Linked DNA regions of Kluyveromyces lactis. The protein of the gene in region 1 interacts with the protein of each later gene in a biochemical or structural test. Links are inferred from orthologs where the notes say so. Each region holds a gene or a part of one and is shown in the gene's direction. Other genes may lie near its edges.

Region 1 (4,206 bases):
TATGTGCCGTGGAGGCACCCCCATGGTAAAACTGTTGGGAATATTCACAAGTACAAACAAACATACATACTTACTTACCATAAACTCTCACAGAGGAACCCGGAAATACGACTGGAGATGCAGCTGGAATGGGGGTTTTTCTTTGAGAGCTAGTTCTAGCCATGGCAATGACTGAATGCTCGATACTGACGTTTCAGTGCTGGATTCATCTTACTGGAATGGCTAATAATAAAGCATGGGGTGGCAAGAGCGAGGGATATCTACATGTAAGGCGTGTATGAGCGCGATTACTTTCTAGACGTGCGCCTATTTTTTTTCTTGTTTTTCTTTTTTTCTAATTTGCTTTTTCCCCATAGTGTAGTTAACATTAAATCGTATGATATTCTGCAGGCTGTTCGCACAAGCTCAACACGGGGTTAATAAGGGCGCTAAGCCGGGTGAGTCTAGTGCTGAATCAGATCAGGAACACACTGGGAGAGAGAGAGGGAGCTGATGATGCGCGGACAAATGAATAACAGACTTGAAATTTTTTACCTAATGCTCAATCAATGATTTCCTAATCCCAAAATCAAAGAAAAATTTTCTGACTAGAATGCTTCCATAATTTTTCAATGATTTTGGCGGCTTGAATTGTGATGAATGCATTCAACATTTTTTGCAGTGCGGTTGAAAGCACAGGCAAAGTGATTCGTCTGTAGTAATTCTAAGAACATTCTTGTGACATTTACTCTCCACCTTTATATTGTTGTAACAGCTGTTGGTCTGGTGACCGATCATGAGGTTTTTCCTAGCCGTTTCACTCAGTTCAAGTCGTAGAAAAATTTAGTCGGGATTCAGTCTCCTCTTGCCCCTCTTCACCAATATGGCTGAATACCGGATTTTTTGCATCTTTCATTTTTGACCGATTAAAGAACGGCTTGAAAAATCAGTACGCTTGATTTTGCTAGATAGCTAAGTTATCCTGGCTTGGCCTTTTGCCGCTTTTGGTAAGGTGGCAGGAATTTTTCATTACATTTCAGCGGTTATTCTGTGTAGCGAAGTTTCTCCGATTTCTAAGATCAGAACAAACCACGAAAGCAATGCACCCTTATTGACTTTCCTTATTCGGTGCAGTTGGTTGTTCGAGCAACGCGTCGTCACCTAAATTGAATCCCTCAAGGCAAAAAGAAAACCGCATTTTAACCTTCCGGGTCACGTGTTGAGAAGTGTTGTTTCATATTTATTTTTCTTTCGGTTCGATCAATTACTTTTCCGTATTAGGTTAAGCGAAGATCAAGCTTTTTTTTTTTTTGATTTGGAATTTTATTCTGTTTTGAATATCCGGATTCAATCGCGACTTAAATTACAACAAACATCATACATCTTAAAGAGTATCCGTATTACATGTCTGTGTTTCTAAGTAAACTGCTGAGATAGGTATTATACAATTTCAAGGGCAACAAGTCAATTGAAGACAGGCCATGTCGTTTGATAAACCAGAGATCCATACCACTAGAGTGTTGGCAGGTGAAGAACTGTCTTCCAATGAAAATTCAGAGATTATCAAATCTTTTAAGAGTTTCATACTGGAATTCAGACTAGATTCCAACTTCGTTTACAGAGAACAACTGAGAAATAACCTGTTGGTTCATAAATACTTCCTTGACGTGAATACGGAGCATCTTATTGGATATAATGAAGATCTATACAAAAAATTACAGGATGAACCGATAGATATTATCCCGTTGTTCGAACAAGCAATAACTCAAGTGGCAAAGAGAATTGTTTTGTTATCGCAAGATTCTGATATTGATCCAGAGACAGCGTTGTCGAACTTCCCACTATGTCAGCTCATTTTAAATTCCAGTTCTATGGAAATTCCATTAAGAAGTTTGGATTCGGATCACGTTTCTAAGATCGTCAGAATTACAGGGATCATCATCTCATCCAGTGTCTTGACATCAAGAGCCACTCAGTTATCGCTAATGTGTAGAAGCTGTAAACATATGACAACTTTGAAGTTGAACAATTTCCAGAATTTGAATAACAATAACGTCCAGTTACCTCGTGAGTGTCTTGCAGATCGTTCCAACGAAACAGATGAAACAGCAGCTTCTTGTGGCCCTGACCCATATTTAATCGTACACGAATCGTCACAGTTTATTGACCAACAGTTTTTGAAACTACAAGAATTACCGGAATCCGTGCCAATTGGTGAATTGCCTAGAAATTTACTAATGACATGTGATAGATATTTGACCAACCAAGTTGTTCCAGGAACAAGAGTTACCATTATTGGTATTTATTCCATCTACCAATCCAAGAATAAGAGTATTAATAGTTCTGGAAATAAAGCTGTGGCGATCAGAAACCCTTACGTGAAAGTTATCGGGATCAAACACCTATCAAATAATCCGTTAAACAATTCTCTATCTATGTTTTCGGAAAGTGAAGAACAAGAATTTTTGGAGCTTTCCCAACGACCAGATCTATATGAACTTTTCGCCAACTCAATTGCTCCCAGTATCTATGGTAACACTGATATCAAGAAAGCCATCGTTTGTCTCCTTATGGGCGGATCGAAGAAATTGTTACCAGATGGTATGAGACTAAGAGGTGATATCAACGTGCTACTGCTTGGTGATCCTGGTACTGCAAAATCCCAACTGTTGAAATTTGTGGAAAAAGTTTCTCCGATTTCGGTATATACATCTGGTAAAGGTTCTTCTGCAGCTGGTTTGACGGCAAGTGTCCAAAGAGATCCAACTACACGGGAATTTTACCTAGAAGGAGGTGCAATGGTGCTTGCTGATGGTGGTGTTGTCTGTATTGACGAATTTGACAAGATGAGAGACGAGGACCGTGTTGCCATCCATGAAGCCATGGAACAACAAACTATTTCCATTGCTAAAGCCGGTATCACTACCGTTTTGAATTCTAGAACTAGTGTCTTAGCTGCAGCAAACCCTGTTTACGGTAGATATGATGATTTGAAATCACCGGGTGAAAACATTGATTTCCAAACTACCATCTTGTCCAGATTCGATATGATCTTCATTGTTAAAGATGATCACAATGAAGCTAGAGATATCCAAATTGCGAACCACGTCATGAACATTCACACAGGAAGAACTCAACAAAACGATCCAAATGATAATTCCAACTCCAACAACGAAATTCCAATAGAAACTATGAAGAGATATGTTAGTTACTGTAGGTTAAAATGTGCCCCCAGGTTATCTCCTGAAGCAGCCACAAAATTATCTTCTCATTTCATCACTATTAGAAAACAATTACAAGAGTCCGAAAGACATTCCAATGAGAGGTCTTCCATTCCAATCACAGTTCGTCAATTAGAAGCCATAATTCGTATCACAGAATCTTTAGCTAAATTAGAACTGAATCCAGTAGCGACCGAAAAACATGTTGATGAAGCCATTAGATTATTCCAAGCTTCTACGATGGATGCTGCCTCTCAGGATCCTATCAACTCCCAGGAAAATGATACAACAATGCTCTCACAAATTAGAAGAATCGAATCTGAATTGAAAAGAAGGTTGCCAATAGGATGGTCTACAAGTTACAAAACTTTGCAAAGGGAATTCGTTGTGAACAAGAAACTTCCCCAATATGCGCTAGATAAGGCGTTATACCTGTTAGAAAGACATGATTCTATTCAACTAAGACATCAAGGTCAGAATATTTATAGAAGTGGAGTATGAAGTTGCAAATGAAATTCAGGAACCCCTCCTTGAACATTGTCTATAACTCATATGTACCACTGTGTATAAGGAATTTCAGCGACTATGTGTTGATATTTATATAGTGTAAGATTACCCGGATAATGATAATGATAATTGGATAATCCGAAAGAAAACAACTGGATGGTATATTGGGTTTGATGCACAGGATGAGATGATGAGATGACCAAAGAAGGAACCTCTCATATCATATGGCAATCAGGACAAGTTATCACAAACTTACGAGATTGCAAATATCATAAGCCAAGGACTTATCTTCAGGATTTGTCTGTTACATATACTAGAAAATTGACCTAAAACACGATGGCCGATACATATATTCCAAAGACAGACCTTTCAAGGTCTGAACTATCTAGAGACGAGCTAACACAACTAGAAGAATTCGAAATGAAATATGGACCCATGTCTCTAATCAGGGAATCAATGCTACAGAGGACACCTGTTATAATATCACTAAGGAACAATC
Region 2 (2,388 bases), about 220 kb from region 1:
GCCGCAGCCGATCTTTTGAATCGAGGTAAAGATGACGATATCAATGAACGATCAGTCAAGATATTATATACCAATGGGTTATTATCTGATAATTTGGACCCTGCTAAAATAGTGGTAATTAGCCCAGTAGACGAATGTGGTAGAACTGATAGCGTTTTATTCATGATTTCAAGGTCTTCCATATGACATTTCAGTTGATCGCTGTTACTAAGAATCTTATCCTGATTCAAAAATAATTGTAGAGATTCTACCAAATTCTTCTCAGTATTATCCACTTGAATAGATTCTAGTTTCTCCAATTGATTTTGATAACTGTTTCTCAATTCTCGATATTCTTGTGACAAATTTACAAAGACATGGCTGTTTGTATGTCTTTCCACAGACGGCAATCCACCATACTTGCTGATAAGGAACACCTTGTCGATATTTATGGGCAAGTTACTCACTAGAGATGATAAGAATCGAGATGGATCGCCAGCCAATTTCTTAAAAGCTTCCTTCTCATGGTACTGATATGGCTCAATAATCGGAATAATATGCGGGTTCAAAATCGGAAGTTTTACGTCAATTGAGCCACGTTCACCGATGGTAATGGGATCTAATACGATTATTGACTTCAGACTCTGATCATGCAAATGATTGTCCAAACGCTGACTTTGGTATGATATGTCTTGGCATAGCGGGTCTACTATTAAAATTGGTCTTAGTCCGAGTGTTTGAATTCTTGACACAGTCTTGCTAAACCCACTAAGTACGTTATCTGAATATTCGGACAAATGTCTCAAAAATACAAGACAGTAGTGATGATTATTCTCATCGGTATATTTGTTCAAATAGTCTTTCGCTTCCCTTTTAGTCACTGTAGAATTCAAAACGCTCATAACCAAACTCCTGCCATGAGCATTAGGTTGATGGTATCTGACCTCTGTGGTCAAACACCTAATCCATGTTTTGATCATAGCACTAGCCCACAAAATGTGCCTTTGGACGTTATATGATGAGATCAAACCATTTATCTGCAAATATGGAAAGTGTATAAAACCATCATTTATTCTAGTTTTATCAATGAGTCAAGTCATCAGAGAAAACTGCCAGTTTAAAGCTTTAGTTAGTCTTTCCTGTTTTTGTTTTTCCTGTGCTGGATTTCAATGTCAAGATTGAACATGGAAAAATAATTGAAGCACAGATATCGATTGGTCATAGTCGCGCATTGAAAGCACTATGTAAGGAAGTAGTGAGCTTGAGGACACTATAGATTAGCAACTCCAACCTGAAATAGAGATGGCACTACCGAGAGATCTATCAATAGGATTTTCTCCCCAAGAGATACAGTTTTTAATTGAAAATGAACCGACACGAATTATGCCCAGAATCACTACGAGGAAGACCAAAAAACAGCTCGCGAAGGATCCTGGCGCCCAATGGTCACTGATCACATGCGATGATTCTACGGTAAATAACATGGTTGCAATGAATAGTTGCGAAGTCACGTTATGGCTGGCTTTACTGTTAAAACAACAGGGAAAGTGTAACGTCGTGGTACCCAGTTGGCTGACGTTACAACAGCTGGAGAAGTATTTAGATTTTGAATTGAAAAACCCATCACGATTCTCCAATCTACCCTGGAATTGGCTAGTGGTATCGTCACTGCTGTTTGCCAGATGCAGCGATGATTTTCAGGATCCAGTTCATCTACTGAGATCTAAGGTCCAAGATCTGCGAGAAGTTCGTTTGGGAAAAGTCAACAAGGGTTTGCAGTACCTGAACGAATCGCATTTACAGCTAGAGAACTTGTCCTTGATGGAAATCAATGAGATGAGACCCTATGCGTGTGGTATCATGGACAAACTGAGGACAATTCATGACTCCAGTAATGACACCACGTGATCAATAATATAATAACCTTTTCCCATTGAATCCAAAATTCCATTCACGAGGTTTCCACCAGTCCCTCCCCTTAATCCAACCTACATGGTTATATGATAACACAGTTGACCATAATCACTAGAAAAGGTCGGGTTACCATGTAAGTACAGGCCTATCAAATAACACATATATTACATACCCTACATGTACCCGCTTCACAGTTTGTAGTAATTCGAAACAACTGATCCATCCCGAACATTCACGCACTGCTTAGTTCTTATTTACGTTTGTGTCGCAAACATGCCTCGCGGGCATGCCTTGCGTGTGCACCCCACGTTCTTGCTTCATCATATTTGTTGTTCTTCAGGCTATTTCGGTTCCTTGCATTGAACTACGGGTATAACTTACAGAAAACGACACAAGGGGGGAACACAAACACGGAAACGAATCACGTTTCTTCAATATTACGTTGGGAAAAGAATTTACCGTAGATAGAAAACAATAACAGTAGAAATTGAGCAG
Region 3 (3,446 bases), on another chromosome or scaffold:
ATTTAATTCTTAGTTTCTAATGATCTTAATTTCTTACGCTTCAAAAACCAAGTCGGTCGTTAGTACCATACAGCGTTGCACGAAATGGTTCTGTCAGGCCGTCGACAATACTTTTATTTTGTCTTGTTCAATCTATTTGTAGATTTATACATTATATTACACTTTGATTCAGAAGAAGTTTCATCAAACCCTAACAACTTCCTTTTGCGAGCCTAATGAAAGCGTGATCTACCTTTCATCATTTGAAAGATTAAGCATGCGTTTTTAGCTGGGCGAGAGACAAATGGCAGCGATTAAAGCCGAACATTTATCTTCTTGTCAGTTTTTTGCTCTAAGCGATGTAATAACTGCTAAGAAGATCTATAATATTTTGTTTGATGCGTATCGAAATCAAAGTAAATTTCAAAAATACACAATCTCTAGTTCTCTCTCCATTTATGACCACAGTTAACACATTTGTAGAAAGTTGTCATAGGTTCATCTGCAGATCTGATTTGCAACTGGAAGAAGTAAGCTCTTTCACCCGCACATTGGTCATGGTTCGGACATTGTGCTGCTGTCTGGTCAACATTATCCCATGCACCTTCTCCACCTAAGACATCATCAACTTCTTTCCTAGGGAGGTTCTTTCTATCGTATACCTCTATCCCATCAATTAAAAACTGGTATGGGCATGATCCGCATGCTAGTTTATACAGACCTGAATCAGCTTTTGATACCAACAACATGTTATTGCATAATGGGCAAAACGAAAGCATCCTACAACTTAATTCTCAATGTCAGACTCCTCAAACACGATACGTTAACGCACCGTTACCTGCCCATAAGCTCCTTCAACACGTTATCGCATACACTCTAAAATGAACCTCATCGCTATAATTATTGAGAGTAGGTTTTAATTCTTTCCTCATCTCATATAGAAATTTTTCAGAAAAAAAAAAGTAGAGCTTCATGCCTTTAACTTTGAATCGATATTTATGTTGACATTTAAGGTTTGTATGTCAAATATAGTGTATAGGGTTAATACCTGTGGGCGAGGTTTGATAGAAGAACAACTCCCACATTTATAAGTTAGTTTCCATTCTCTAGACTTTAGAGTATTTGATTATCTTGGAGCGGTTAAACCTTGAAAACATGACGAAGAAAGAGTGCAGTGATAATGAGGAAGAAGAAGAAGACATTGATATTGTAAATCACCAAGACATTTTCATATCACCTTCCAAAGTAAGATATCAGTCACCGAAGAAACTTAAAAGTTTTGATTTTCTTTCGCCTTCCAAAACGGTACGACCTAAGTCACCCAAACGATCGCTCACATTAGAGTCTGTTAGCATTGAGACTGAATATAAAGATGAAGAGAGTAGGAAGCACTCATCGACAGATACTGCAACTCCCAGGCGAAGGCAAAGGAAAACAACCAAGAGGGTGAAGTTGGAGGAAGATGATGCCATTGACTATGTGTCAGATACTAATGAATTGATACACAATGACGACGAATACGAGGATCTAAAAATTAAAATAGATTCTAATGAAAGCTCACCTAATAAGTCGCCTAGGAGAAAACTTACATTTAATGCAGAACCATCACCCCAAAGAAAGACTACCAGAAATACAGTTCAAAGGAATAAAATTATAGACGATGATCTTGCATACGACGATATCCAGCAGTATAAGCATCTGAAATTGAACTTGAACCCTAATTTCAAACCGACTAAGTTGCCAAAGAGCGATAATAATGACCAAACATCTGATGAACAATCTCAAATATATTTTTTCGATGGTTTCGAAGGTTTCATAGATCAGACCAAGATCCTAAAAACTGATAAAAGATCCAAGAACTCGATGTCCTCGGCACCAAGTATTTCCAGAGATGAATATAACATTCTTTCTCAACTTTCCAATGATATATTCCATCGTTCATCGACAAAGGCAGTACAAAAAATACATGAAACACTCTTTCAGCAGTTTACTTTCGAGTTACTGCAGGGATTTACGTTATTATTCTATGGTATCGGATCGAAGAAGAAATTCCTCGAATCATTTGCATTCAACTTTCTTTCTATGAAGATCGCCTTGTTGCAAAACCCGGATATTCAAAAAGATGATCCATGTATACCGGTTTTTGTAATGAACGGGTACACCACTCTCTCTAAGAACATCTTTTTGGATATATTCAAAATCTTAGTAGAGGGCGAGACTATTGATGATCAAGGTCAATCAAATTATTGGGATAATCGAATTGACTTGCAAATGGACAGGCTTTCAAAATATTTCAAGAAAAGACCTCCTACGGTGAAGATGATTCTTTTGATACATAACTTGGACGGTCCGTCATTCCGGAGAGAACATTTTCAAACCAGAATGAGTATTCTTGCACAAATCAAACAAATCTGTGTCGTAGCAAGTGTCGACCATATACAAGCTCCTTTCCTTTGGGATCATTTCAGAGCTCAATCATTCAACTTTGTTTACCACGATATCACAAATTTTGAGCCGTACATCGTAGAAACAGTACAAACCGATAATGCTATCGACTTTTCCAAAGATTCAGGTACCTTGTTTAATGCGAACGGTGCTAAATACGTACTAGAATCCCTGACGGACAATTCTAAAAGAATGTACAAAATTCTTCTTCAACTTCTAATGGGACAGATTAATGCCAAGAACGAGTCAAAGCCTCGTGCAAAATCTAGTTCCTTAAACAAAATCACACCTGGGATTGAGTTCTCTGAACTTTTTAAAACATGCACCGAACAGTTCGTAGTCTCGAGCGAAATGGGTCTTCGAACCATCCTATCAGAGTTCATTGATCATAAGATGGCTGTCAATACGAAAAATAAAATGGGTAAAGAGATCATAAATGTTAAATATAGCTATGGAGACATGGAAAAAATGATAACTGAGATAGATTCCATGCTGCAATAAATAATCCTTATTTAAATTCACCATACATATTTATATTTATACTCTAGCGTTCTGATCTCATTTGGCTTTACCATACCGTCCACCAGGGTTCATTTCTTTTACATTTCCTATGCTGAATCAGTTCTGCTTCCGAAAATCACTGAAAAATAAGTTTTCGATAAAGATTACTATTTTAATGAACTTAAGGTTATATGGTTAAGAAGAAAAGGGAGAATTCGATAAAGAAGAGTATCGTATACACTAACAGCAAGTGTTGGAAGCACTGTTGGTAGTGGTATTTAATTCAGCAGTCCGCTAAATATTGTGATGAGCAAATCAGACACTATATCCAGACCGAATTCGGTGGCACATACTGCGGCGACCTCTGCTATGATTCCGAATTCGCATCTGTTGAGTCCCAACACTCAGGTTGTTGTTGGCACTCATAGGTGTGAAATTTTGGAGCATTTAGCTGAGGGTGGGTTCGCAAATATATACAAGGTAAAATTCTTGGAATTGACTAACGAGATGGATGCTGGTAT
Region 4 (3,826 bases), on another chromosome or scaffold:
GCCGAGAAAGATGACTGGGAATCGAAGTTCCAAAGAATTAGGCTTCAAGCACGTGATAGATTGAATGCCTCCAAGGAAAAGGAACAATCTTTATCATCAGAAATAAACCAAATCAATGAAGCTAAATCTCAAGTGGAGGCCGATTTAGGAAAATGTAAGACCGCTTGCAAAGAGTTAGAAGAAAGATTACAAGTGGTAACGCAAGAAGCAGAAACAAAGGAACAGACTTTTAACTCTCAATTATCTAAATTGCAGGAAGATCTACATTCTATTCAGGTTCAAATGGAAAATGCTTCCAAGACCGAACAGAATAATGCAGATTCAGATGAAAAAATAAAATCGTTGACTGAGACTGTGGAAATGTTAAATAGTAAAATACAGGAGCTTGAAGCCGAAGCCTCCAACGCTCAAAAAATAGTAGCTGAACATCATACGCCAGTTATCAACGAAGACACGAAGTCAATAGTGGATAATTTGAAAACAGAATTTGAAGCTGAAAAAGAACAATTAATAAAAGATAAAGAAAAAGAATTGAGGAGCAAGTTTGAGGCAGAAAAAGAATCTGCTTGGAATTCCAGAGAGGAAGAGCTCCGGAAACAGTTTGAAGAAAGAGAAAAGAGAATTCGTGAAGAGTGCGAAAAGACTACTGTCCAGTCTCCTTCGCAGCCTACCTTGGATATAGACATCGATGCTTTGAAGAATGAATGGGAAAAAGAATATGAGAAGCAGACTCTGGAAAAAATTAAATTAGCAGAAGAAGCCCTCAAGAAACGGATCAGGTTACCTACTCAACAAAAGATTGATAAAATAGTTGAGGCAAGAAAAGCTGTTTTAGAAGAGTCCTTTGAAGAAAAGGTAAACGAAAAGGCCCAAAAATTGGCAGGAGAGATCGGAAATGATGCCATTACTCTAGAAAAGCATCGTGCAGAATTGAATGCACTTAAGGATTCCATGCGTAAGCAATTTGAAGCAGATTTGGCAGAAATAAAACAAAAATCTTTCGAAGAAGGGAAACAGCAAGTTTCCTTGAAATTGAAATTTTTGGAAAGCAAGATCAGGAATTTAGAACAACAAAAGTCCACAATTAAACCTGTAGAGAATGACACTTCTAATATGAGTGCAGCATTCCAGGCCCCTGTATTTGGCTCTCATTCAACATTCACTAGTCCCTTCTCAACGTCAGAAATTTCTCCTAATAAGAGACCCATAGACGACACCGCAACAGAACAGCCTGAGAAACGTCACAAAGAGCCTGAAAGTGATACTGAGGATGGTCAGGAAGCCTGATTCTCCAGACGATTTTATGGCTGTTAATATTACCGAAGTTCTATTTAATTTTTTTCTATTATGTATCATTATTTGACCATTCGTTTTCAACATGTAAAAAATACTAGTATTACTTTCCACAGATATTCAAACGAGAAAACAAAATAATGACATCCCACAAGTAAAGAATGAACGAGAATAGTTACAGAAGCTATCGAGTATAGGTAACAGTGAAGATGCATCATGTCATATGATCTAACTGACCCGAGAGAAATTACGGCGTTCGACCCGTACGAGGAATTATCTGATGATGAATCTGAAATCGAAAGAGGTATGTTCTAATAATAATGGTTACCGAGATCAATGACATTAGAATATCCTACTAACATATTATAACCAATCATTAAATCAAAGTGAAACGAAGAATTGTTGAAATTGACACTGAGAAACGAGATTTAACTAACCGGCTGTTGGAACTAGAGAAGAAGAGAAACCTCAAAGACCCTAATTTCGATTCTATCGACGTTCCAGAGTCTCCTAAGAAATCAGATAATGCTACAAAAGGAATAGAGGATATCAAACATATTGCGCCAGTAGCAGATATAGAGGAAGCTACATTTAATGTTAATGAGGATTATGTAAGGGAAAAGGTCAAAAAGTTGGGTACCACTTCTTACTTTACTGAAAAACTTCGCTCCATCAATACAAATGAACATGAAGCGATTAAAAGGAAGAAAGAATTATTGGCACATCGAGTTTACACATTCAATGGCGACATGTTCGATGAATATGAACCAATTACTGTTGATGAAAAAGATGATTTGAGTGGTCTGGTTATAGACAGAAGGTATGTACCGTTGGCCGTACTTAGGAAACATACTAAAAACATAAAAGTGCTTCGACTTCCAAAGCTCTTCAGTAAGGTGAGAGCCCCTAAGTTCTCTGAACCTGATTATCCCAATTGGTTGGTATTGGGTATCATCTCAAAGAAAACTGAACCAAGAATGACAAATTCTGTGAAACCGGTGAAATTCTTCAGCCTAACCATAAGTGATTTCCAATTTGAACTGAATGTTATTTTCTTTGGGAAAAGTATAGTTGAAAAGTATTACAAACTAAGATTAGGTGATTTGATTGCTATACTTAACCCTGAAATAATGCCTTCCAAGAAACTGGAAGCGGGAGCAAGCCCTAGTTACGCTACATTTTCGTTAAAAGTTAGTAAAGACACCAATAATATACTGGAACTAGGTCACAGTAAGGAATTCGGATTGTGCCAATTTTACATGAAGAACAAAGGCAAGCTATGTGGTGCGCCAATAAACAAATTGCATGATAACTACTGTGCATATCATAAAGAGGCAAAAATGAGGCAAAACAGTTCTAGAAGAGTTGAAATTAGTAGCTCTGTGGCAATGAGAGCGCCAGTTGTCAAAGGATATCAACAGACTATTGTAAAATCACAACACAATAATGGTAAAACATCCATAAGATATCAACAAAATCCTGATAAACCGTTTGTACGAGAACCGGCAGCTGCAGAGACCAACAGATTCCTCTTCAGTTCTGCAAATGCCTCTACCGCGTTTTTCGATGACGACTACGAAAATCCTGACATACTGGCCAACCTTGATAACAAAAGACGCAAAATTCAAGAACTCAGAAACAATCGAAACTTGGAGAAAAAGTTAAAGGGTCTATCCGACAAATTGTTGTCAAAGAAGGAAGACCGAGTCAATCAAGAAGCAAAAAAGACTGCGACGTTGAGCATGTTCCAACATGGTTTAGCGAACCAAATTGGTTATGACCCAACAAAAGGGAAAGCGTCTTTAGAGATGCTTGAATATTCTACAGAGAATAAGGCGCCAAAGAATGATAAACAGCTGGCGATAACGGATATTTGCAATATAAAGAAAGATAATGTTAGCCTGAAACCTTCGAAGAAACAATTGAAAGAGAAAATTGAAAAGAGAAACGCTATCTTCAATGAAATAATGAAAGGCAGCCAAGAGCGGCTCGATAAAGATGAAGGCTCAAGTGATGATTTGGAAATTATATAGACAATAATGTAAGGTTTAATATATTATAAAGAATGTAGTACTTTTAATGATGGCTCCGTACAAGTCTCAATTCTTATCGTGGATGGTGGAGTATTCTTTCCCTCTAACTCTAGTAAGTTAAGAAGTTGCCCATCACAGCAAACTTCAAAGTTGCTCTTTTGTGACGGATCGTCTAGTACTTCGACGTTAAAACAAAATGGCAGTGGTCTGTAAAACGTTCCATTCTGTAAGATGTTTGAATGCTTCGTATTTGAATAACCCATAAATACCCTTTTCTGGAATTCTACTCTATCCAGAGAAGACTGGTATGCCAATACATGTAGTTGTGATTCCAATGGATCAGAATCGGGAGATGGCATATAAGTTGGCTCCAGATTTGTGGTATTTATTAACGCAAAATAACTAAAAGATCCTTCCAGAATATCGGGAATAGAGACGCGAGATTCGAGCTTGTATTCTCTTAAAATTCGCTGGCTAGCAACTCTAAACCTTTCAATGCC
Region 5 (2,799 bases), on another chromosome or scaffold:
TGTTGGTAATACTTGTTATCTTTTTTAGTCTGTTCAGTAGAATATGATAAGTCCGTCCTTGGGATAGGAATAATTTTGACATCGTCATCCTCTTTTAATGATAAATCTAAGGTTGATATCAGCTTAAGTTGGCCATTGGTGCTGGCCGCCAGGATGCTATGGTCATTGAATTTTGGAATTATAATTGAAAGTACCGGATAGTGATGATAATTAGTGGAAACAATATTTCTTTCCACCTGAAAGCTATTATTTATTTTGACTGTTCGCAGTTCATATAAGATGAGTTTTCCTGTATAGCAAGAAAGAACGACGGAGGTAATCTTAGAATTAGGATTATCAATAAACTTGCTCCGTACAACATTCTGACCTTGGAATAAAACTGTATCAAGTACCTCACCAGAAGAGACGTGTGTGATTTGAACTAAAGAGCTTTTCACGTATTTGGTTACAAGATGAATCACAGTAACCAGTAAATTATCTAAGACGTCACTGGAAATGACCCTTGCTTCAGAAGTTGAATCAATGGCAACTTTTGGTGAAATTGATAAATACATGCTTATTTTCCCATCACCAGCGATTTGATGAGAAGATGACTTGAGCGCAGCCGCTTCTATAGTCTCCTGTAGTGAAAATGTTTCTTTCTTCAACGTTGCGTAGTCTTCCGCTGAAACGACATTTCCGAAATCAAACACATCCTTTTCAACAACTTCTTTATCCTCCTTGGTCTCTGTAATATCTGAAGTCGATGCTTGCTGTTCTATAAGATCTTGGGAAGGTAGATGTCCATCTTCCATAATTTCATGTTTCCCGTCATATTCATCTGTCTGTATTCCGATATCATATGTTATCACAGCCTCCTTAACAGCGCTCAATTCAAACTCATTTACATCATCTGTTTGCACTGAGATCTCAACAGTTTTTACTTCTTTCTTGACTTCAGATTCGTTGTTATTTATGGAATTGGTGATATGGGAAATGAACGGAAGGGTACAATCTGCTATCTCTTCATGTTTCGAATCAATTTTTTTCCTTTGCAGCTGAAGAGCCTCTATTTTCTGCTTCATCAACTGTAAGCGCTCATTCTTGTCCATATTTCTGGGTATATTCCCCCTGAGGTTGGTGTTGCTGATGAGCGCTTCTTCACTGACGCGTTTTATCTTGCTTCATGTATGGATTTGTTAAGCGTAAACAAAAGATGATAAATAAGATTTGAGTATTATCAAAAATACGATGTTACAGTAAGTTGGATGAATTTCACAATAGGTTGGAGGATAACACATTGCAAGTAAGTCCTTCTTGTCTGAATACACCTTTACAGCAATTATAAAAGCCACCCCGGTGTACTATCCGAACACTTCCTCCGCTTTGAGTCCTGGTGGTAGGATCATATTTCTTTAGTACAATGAGCATTGATATTGACGACATTCTAGCTGAGCTGGATAGGGACACTACAGCTGTTGAACAAAATGCTTCTTCATACCCAGACCAAAGCGATCGAACTCAAGGCAATGATGTCTCTCAGATAAGACCAGCAGATAAGGCGGTTGACCCTGTGGCTCCCACACAGTTTAACAAAATTGACGACTATCAAAAGCTAATTACACATTGGAAGAATGAACGTATGAGTCCGGAGCTGCTTCCATATCCACATCATCTCATGACTAGGACATTAATAAGGATTCAAGAAAGAATTGAACTAATAGAAACACTATCAATGGGATACTTAGAAGATAATCAAGAGTTAACTGTCGATTCAAAGCTACCACTTTTATGCATGGAAGCAGAACTTGAGAGATTGAAGTTCCTAGTTCGATCTTTCATCAGATGCCGGTTAAGCAAAATTGACAAATACAGCATTTACCTAAGACAACAATCCGAACTACCCAATAATGCGGGCCTCAGCAGACTAGATTTATTGATGTCCAAAGAAGAGGTGAAGTACCATATGAAGCATTCTGACATATTACTAAAACTGTTTAACAACGCAGTACTTAAGCACTTACCAGAAGAACTGCAAGCCGTTAACGATACTGAGGGTTCCATCAGTATGATTGATGAACCCGATTGGAATAAAACTGTATTTATACTAGTTTGTGGTGGGGTAGTTGACGAAAGTGGTATTGATTCGAAATTAACGACCGATGATGATGGAAAACACTGTTACTCAGTGATTATTGAAGATTTAAATGAAGAAATTTACTTATTAATCGGGGCAGTATACGTAATACGTTATAGTGTAATACGAGATCTCATGACTGAGGGACGAGTAGTTTTAATATAATGAAAATTCTGAACAGTATTACTGAACCTATGACTCTTCGAAAAATATAGGTTTGTAACGAATGTTTGCCAGCAATAATTTCTCAACAATGTTATTGCGAACACAGCATGTTTTCTACCTAGTGTTATTGACTGCTGGTCTATAGTGCTTTTGAACCAATTTGTATTAGTATTACATCAATTAACGTTGAAAAGTCTATCTAGCATACTCAAAGTGTACCTATTTTTCATATTTACTGTATGCAAAACCCATCCGGCAAGCATATGATCAGCTCAGAGAAATCCTTCAATATCTGGTTTCTGGGCTTGGGCAAGCTTAGCCCTTTTGGTTGTCTGCGGTTGAGATTGAGATAACGACACTGAATGTATTCTTTTCAATCCTGTAGTCGAGTTCATCTCAACGACAGAATCTAATTCCTCGATATTTTGCGAGTTGGCATCTATGTTACTGGAAGAGGACTGGTTTATATTAGATTTGGCATGTTGTGATGATCTAGACTTCATAAATTCCATAAACTT

What was found.
Region 2: the proteins of MCM5 (region 1) and PSF2 form a complex in vitro, tested with the Saccharomyces cerevisiae proteins (2 studies listed by BioGRID). The link is inferred for Kluyveromyces lactis from reciprocal best matches to the Saccharomyces cerevisiae genes MCM5 and PSF2.
Region 3: the proteins of MCM5 (region 1) and ORC2 form a complex in vitro, tested with the Saccharomyces cerevisiae proteins (2 studies listed by BioGRID). The link is inferred for Kluyveromyces lactis from reciprocal best matches to the Saccharomyces cerevisiae genes MCM5 and ORC2.
Region 4: the proteins of MCM5 (region 1) and MCM10 form a complex in vitro, tested with the Saccharomyces cerevisiae proteins (3 studies listed by BioGRID). The link is inferred for Kluyveromyces lactis from reciprocal best matches to the Saccharomyces cerevisiae genes MCM5 and MCM10.
Region 5: the proteins of MCM5 (region 1) and SLD5 form a complex in vitro, tested with the Saccharomyces cerevisiae proteins (3 studies listed by BioGRID). The link is inferred for Kluyveromyces lactis from reciprocal best matches to the Saccharomyces cerevisiae genes MCM5 and SLD5.

Annotation. Positions count from the first base shown.
Region 1 is NC_006040.1:778,813-783,018, forward strand, and holds MCM5 (MCM DNA helicase complex subunit MCM5), read left to right. Parts: upstream 1-1,460; coding exon 1,461-3,701; downstream 3,702-4,206. Other genes in the region: mRNA splicing protein SMD2, read left to right, coding at 4,044-4,206. UniProt on the Saccharomyces cerevisiae protein: Acts as a component of the MCM2-7 complex (MCM complex) which is the putative replicative helicase essential for 'once per cell cycle' DNA replication initiation and elongation in eukaryotic cells.
Region 2 is NC_006040.1:558,097-560,484, reverse strand, and holds PSF2 (DNA replication protein PSF2), read left to right. Parts: upstream 1-1,281; coding exon 1,282-1,887; downstream 1,888-2,388. Other genes in the region: ARG2 (acetyl-CoA:L-glutamate N-acetyltransferase), read right to left, coding at 1-959. UniProt on the Saccharomyces cerevisiae protein: Functions as part of the GINS complex which plays an essential role in the initiation of DNA replication by binding to DNA replication origins and facilitating the assembly of the DNA replication machinery.
Region 3 is NC_006042.1:1,707,900-1,711,345, forward strand, and holds ORC2 (origin recognition complex subunit 2), read left to right. Parts: upstream 1-1,134; coding exon 1,135-2,925; downstream 2,926-3,446. Other genes in the region: DNA-directed RNA polymerase III core subunit RPC11, read right to left, coding at 420-758; serine/threonine protein kinase AKL1, read left to right, coding at 3,232-3,446. UniProt on the Saccharomyces cerevisiae protein: Component of the origin recognition complex (ORC) that binds origins of replication. It has a role in both chromosomal replication and mating type transcriptional silencing. Binds to the ARS consensus sequence (ACS) of origins of replication.
Region 4 is NC_006037.1:50,765-54,590, reverse strand, and holds MCM10 (Mcm10p), read left to right. Parts: upstream 1-1,509; coding exon 1,510-1,597; intron 1,598-1,680; coding exon 1,681-3,326; downstream 3,327-3,826. Other genes in the region: MLP2 (Mlp2p), read left to right, coding at 1-1,287; KLLA0_A00550g (uncharacterized protein), read right to left, coding at 3,350-3,826. UniProt on the Saccharomyces cerevisiae protein: Required for DNA synthesis. Required for entry into or completion of S phase. Involved in DNA replication and seems to participate in the activation of the pre-replication complex (pre-RC) and in transcription elongation.
Region 5 is NC_006042.1:1,023,576-1,026,374, forward strand, and holds SLD5 (DNA replication protein SLD5), read left to right. Parts: upstream 1-1,402; coding exon 1,403-2,281; downstream 2,282-2,799. Other genes in the region: PAC11 (dynein intermediate chain), read right to left, coding at 1-1,091; serine/threonine/tyrosine protein kinase RAD53, read right to left, coding at 2,554-2,799. UniProt on the Saccharomyces cerevisiae protein: Required for DNA replication. Functions as part of the GINS complex which plays an essential role in the initiation of DNA replication by binding to DNA replication origins and facilitating the assembly of the DNA replication machinery.